2 linked regions of the Tribolium castaneum genome follow. The main gene of each other region encodes a partner of the protein of the gene in region 2 in a complex. Links are inferred from orthologs where the notes say so. Each region holds a gene or a part of one and is shown on either strand. Other genes may lie near its edges. The genes, in order: Arpc4 and actin-related protein 2/3 complex subunit 3-B.

Region 1 (2,892 bases), about 3.1 Mb from region 2:
TAAAAATCACATCCTATTAGTCTGAACAAAAAACTTTTGTTTGATTATTTTCTAAATGTCGGTCAAACCACCTGGAATTCCGCTGAATTCTAAGAAAATTTCAAATTTTCTATTACATTTAGGTGAAAAAATCGTATGAATTAAATTTTTATTTCGCTTTTTATAAACCGGCTTCTAAGAAAATTTATCTTAAAACTACGTCAAGTTTGCATCTACAGTAGGGACTGGTGTATTGATTAAGGCGTCATTTTCACTTTGTTCGACTGTACGTGATCGGACGGTTTTCGCGAGAAATAACGCGCTTTTGTGAACATTACGTACTCCTAAAGGAATAGAGATCCTATTTTGCCACTTATGTGTTTAATCTATTTACTTTCAGCTATTTTTTTTGAAAAAAAAGTCCAAGTTACTGAAATTCTGATTTGAAATTTCACTTCCGGCTTTCTACACTAAAAAATCAAATTTTGAATCCGATTTCAGAGTTAAAAAGAACAGTGAATTTTTCATAAGTATATAAAGCTTCATTTTATATATTTTATTATTTATTGCTTAATTGGACGCTTTATCTGAAATGCCCCCAAATTGGCTTTGGTGTTTTTCGTGTTCGAGGTTGGTAGTACCAGTGACCCAGTGGTCCAAACAACAAAAAAACATTTTTCTTAATAAAATGATCGATTTATTGGCGAAACAATATAATAAGTAAAAATAGAATTCGTATTTGAAATTAGGAATAAATAAATCTTCCTGCTGGATAAACCTAGAACTTATGTACACATGTCCACTCTCGCTCTCCTCAAAACCTCTTCAAAAACTCCTCCGAAACTATTCGAGCCCTCGCATTCACCGCCAACTTCATTTCCGACACTTCTTTATCAATTTCCTCCATGAAATGAATCACAAAATCGACCAACTTATGTTTGTACATCTGCTCCGTGTGGAAATTCGTAATCAGGAAGCTAATATCGTAGCCCTCGATGGGCTTCCGCCGCAAAACCACGAAATTCTCCGCCCTCATCATCATAAACCGCATGAACTTCTTGCAGAGGATTTTCTCGATTTCGTCCGCTTGTTTCACGGCTATACTGATACGGACCGAGTTCACTGACGTCTCTATGAACACCTTTTCCTTCTCGTTGCGCGAGATCACGACGGGAGTCAACAGCAGCTCCTTACTGGACCTAACCTCAACCTCCGGCTTGTTGTGCCTTTCCACCACCTGGGAGGAGAAGTTCTCCAGGCACATGGCGGCCGTTAAGGTGTGCCGCACCGCCGTTAAGTAGGGCCGTAGCGTCGCCGACATTACCGCTTTTTTGAGCAAAATTACGACTGATAACAGTGATAACACCACACCTCTCTGACATACAATTGTCAATTTGTCAACACAAATTATTATCCGCCAGATGGCGCAGCGATTTTGACATTGACGTAAGGTGCGTAATGTCAAAAAAGTTGCTTTAATTTCGAAAAAAACAATCAAAAACATGTCCGGGGCCCTTAAATTGTACAGTCTGAGTAGATCAGGTACGTAGCTACTGCCGGGTTTGTGTTTTCGTTGTTTTGCGTTCGGTTTTTTTGTGTCGAACGACATAACCTCAATTTGGTTTCATAACAGTCTCAGGTCGCCCCTCGATTTTCCTGCGAGCATGTGGGCAAAACCGCTTAAAAAGCACGTCGAAAGGCGACTACATCAACGTAAATCCGGGCGAGCCTGGCATGAGTTTGAACGAAGTAACCGGTAAGTGAAACTTTAATTGGGGGGAAAAACATAATTTTTGGATGTTTGGTATTGAATTGTTTTCGGTATTGTAGTCATAATGTTCGTTTTTCGACATTAAATAAGTTTTTAGTAGTAGTGGACTAGTGGCGTTTGTATTGTTGGTTGCATAATTCACAGGCGTTTTGATTTTTGATAATAATAAACTGCTAGGTAAATAATAGTCATCTTTTAAATAAAATATTATAAATGCTAAGCAGAGATGCTTGGTATTAAGGATAAACTGTACTGAGATCTCTGAACGCGTGAACGCAAAATTTGAAATTTTTTCCTTAAAAAGTTTTAAATAAATCAACGAGTTGCAACGTTTCGTTTATATAATAAACATCATTAGGCTAAAAAATAAAAAAAAAAAAACAATATAACAGCAATTAATTACTAACTCTGTTATCTTTCTGCCTTGACATTTTTACGGATGTCGTAGTACAATTTTTCCATTATATTGTTGGTTGCCTACTAAACCAGCTCAATAGAATTTATAACCCAAGATTCATAAATAGTCTTCAAAGGCTATGTGTTATGTTTTGAACAACAAAAAAGACATTTCCGACATTTTTTATGAATAATATTAACTTTTATGAACATCTGTTATATTTTTAATTTCCAAAAAGTAAGTTTATGGGAGAATGAATTAATCACAAAACAATTATTTTTTAATTTCACAGCACTCTAGTTTTTTTTTTGTAATGAACATTTGTTATATATTGATACTTTACTTACAATTATTAATAAAAAATCAAAATACTGACATGGCAATTAGGTACGATTAAGGTTAAAAAGGTTATAAGTTATAACTTATAATTAATATCCTAGTCACAAAACTGTTAAACATCAAGACAAAACATGTTAAAAATATGTTGACCATAATTATATAATGTTATTACTTTTTCATAATAAGGAATTTGTCAATTTTACTAAGTTTTTCAGTAAACTTTTGATTCTAGTTTTACTTGATTTAATGTTTTTTTTTTGTTTTATAGAAGATTAATTTAGGAATTATTACTATTTAACATATTTGGTTGGTCATTATTATCATTATAATAAAATTTTCTTGACTAAATTAAGTGGATAAGTATTATTAACTATTAATTTTTGCAAAACTATTAAATATATTGTAC
Region 2 (2,696 bases):
AATTTCTTAAAAAATAAGCTAATAAATCTGAGTTATGTCTAAAATGACAGTGTAAGGAACTTGGGTAATGGAACAACTGCGCTCTCTAGCGTCTTTAACGGAACTAACGAAGATGGGAACGTTTTATTTGTACGTCGTTCCGTCTCCTAACCTTTAGACAACCGTTGTATTAGTCCTTAGACATCACTCGATTTTTTTTTATTGAGAAGTCTTTTTGTACAAAACTTAAGAAAAATTAACGTTTTTTGCCTATTTAGAATAATTTCGGTCGTTTTTGAGCCGAAAAATTGTGTAATTAATTAAAGAGAAAGCGAAAAAAATTAAAAAAAAATCAGCGACTTTCGCGAGGCGCCTCTGCTTTAATGAGCCTCTTATCACTGAATTTCAAGATTGTTGTGTCCCCCGAACGGCATCCGGATTAAAGGTCTGTATGGGCGTTCCATGCGATAATGTATCACATATCATTCACAAACCGCGTGAAAACAAACCAAACACAACAATAAAAAAAAATGGTTTATTAATACAATACAGAATCAAATAATTAAAAAATTGGCAAATTCATTGTCCCGGCCCTGAGAGCGACTTATCCATGAACTTCTTTTTGGCAAAACACAGCCACCATTTACTCGGCTTCCCGTCCTCCCCAAAGACCCGATCGACGACCCGCAGCCCCACTTCCTGCCTCAACTGGGTTAAGTACGCCCTCAGGAACTCAGCATCGGCGGGCGACTTCGCCTTACTATACACCGAATTCAGGGGAAACCCTGGATCCCCCGGGATATCAAACCGGGAAATGGCCAAAGTGTACATCTCATTCTGGCCCTGGTTGCGGTTCGCACACCTTTGCAGTTTTTTGAGACACTCGGTAATGTACAGGGTGATGTAAATCAACAAACGGTCGGCCTCCGACTGAAAAGGGCGTTTTTGTGCCGATTGTCACAAGTGGGGCTCACCTTGATCTCATAAGTGCGGAAAAAAACATTGGCCTTGAAGTAATAAAGCGCCTCGTCTATGATATCCTGGTCGCCGGGTTGCCCCCCAAATGGGGGCGCTGGCCCCCGAAATTGTGTTTTAAACGGCAAAATGGCAGTGTTACCGACCGATTGTTGGTGCTCCAAAAACGCCGAATGGTACGCCTGAAACCACAAATCACACCAAACGGCACACAAGGGGGCTATCAAACGCACCGGCATGGTTTTTCCACAGAAATTTCACCAAACCTCCCAGATTAGTCACGTCGGTAATGCAGAACACTGCCACAATGTATGAACACTAGGGCCCCAAAACCCCCACTTAAACGGGCAAGAGCCCCACAAAATCGCACTTTTGGTAAAAAAACACACAAAAACACCGGTTTTGGGCGAAAAACGCCACTTTTGGGTCACAACACAACCTCACTTATTGCATGGTGGTAACACTGGTCGTTACCTAACCTAATTTTTTGCGTTTGTTTTTTGTAAAAATGCGGTACGCGCAGCTAGTTATTGGCCCCGCGGGCAGTGGCAAGGTAATTATTTGTTATTGTAGCACAATTTGGCTAATTTAATTGTTAGTCGACGTATTGTTCGGCTTTGGTGCAACACGCAGTCGACGCAAAACGCACCATAGAAGTGGTAAATTTGGACCCAGCGGCCGAACACTTCGACTACGAGCCACGTGCCGACATCCGCGAGTTAATCCACGTGCAGGACACCATGGAGGACGAAGAGTTGCACTTTGGCCCCAACGGGGGGCTTGTCTTTTGCCTGGAGTACCTGCTGGAGAACTCCGACTGGTTGCGAGACAAGTTGGGGGAGGAGGAGGACGATTATATTTTGTTTGACTGTCCGGGTCAAATCGAACTATACACGCACTTAACAGCTATGAAAAAATTAGTCAAGTTGTTACAAGACTGGAATTTTAATATTTGTAGTATTTTTTTGGTGGACGTTCAGTTTATGACAGACGGGGCCAAGTTTTTGTCGGGCACCATGGCTGCACTCAGTGTCATGGTTAATTTAGAGCTGCCTCATGTGAATTTGTTGTCGAAAATGGATTTGTTGAGCAAGGGGGCGCGCAAGCGCCTCGATAGGTTCCTCGAGCCTGATTCGCATGCCATTCTGGGGGATATTGAGTTAAGTGGCATGAATGCCTTCAATGAGAAATACAAAAAATTGTCTGAAGCCATAGGGGATTTAATTGAGAATTATTCCCTAGTCAGGTTTTTCCCCCTCAATTTGAAAAACCACGAAAGTGTGAGTGACATTTTGGTGACCATTGACAACGTGATACAGTATGGCGAGGATCAGGACGTCAGGACACGTGATTTCGAGGAACAGGACGACGAATAAAATTCCCTAGAGTGTTTATTCCAATTTATACTTTTTTTTATATAAAACAATAACACAAAATACTAAACTAAACCTACTTTTCTATCGGTTTTTATTCCTCTTAAAGCAACCTATACGATAAAAAAGGTACACGTGGATGAGACTTAAACTTAAAAAAATCACAAGTTATTTACAAACCGCCGAATTCGTTCAATTGCACAAAAAGTAGGAAAAGTGAAGTAGTTAAGTCATGTAAGTAGGAGTTATCACAGAAAAAGAATTTGTTCCTTCGTTTCCCCAAACAAAACAAAAAAATACTGACTTAATTACGTGACGGCAATTCCGGAGGTGAGTTAGAGTGTGGGATACGTCGAAATTGCCCTTGAA

What was found.
Region 1: actin-related protein 2/3 complex subunit 3-B (region 2) and Arpc4 share a complex: the UniProt entries of both Caenorhabditis elegans proteins name them as parts of the arp2/3 complex. The link is inferred for Tribolium castaneum from reciprocal best matches to the Caenorhabditis elegans genes arx-5 and arx-6.

What each region holds. Positions count from the first base shown.
Region 1 is NC_087401.1:12,843,497-12,846,388, forward strand, and holds Arpc4 (actin-related protein 2/3 complex subunit 4), read right to left. Parts: upstream 1,301-2,892; coding exon 794-1,300; downstream 1-793. Other genes in the region: ND-23 (NADH:ubiquinone reductase 23kD subunit), read left to right, coding at 1,482-1,521, 1,613-1,735. UniProt on the Caenorhabditis elegans protein: Functions as actin-binding component of the Arp2/3 complex which is involved in regulation of actin polymerization and together with an activating nucleation-promoting factor (NPF) mediates the formation of branched actin networks.
Region 2 is NC_087401.1:15,949,768-15,952,463, forward strand, and holds actin-related protein 2/3 complex subunit 3-B, read right to left. Parts: upstream 1,329-2,696; 5' UTR 1,194-1,328; coding exon 1,188-1,193; intron 1,137-1,187; coding exon 954-1,136; intron 910-953; coding exon 559-909; 3' UTR 501-558; downstream 1-500. Other genes in the region: GPN-loop GTPase 3, read left to right, coding at 1,463-1,507, 1,554-2,330. UniProt on the Caenorhabditis elegans protein: Functions as a component of the Arp2/3 complex which is involved in regulation of actin polymerization and together with an activating nucleation-promoting factor (NPF) mediates the formation of branched actin networks.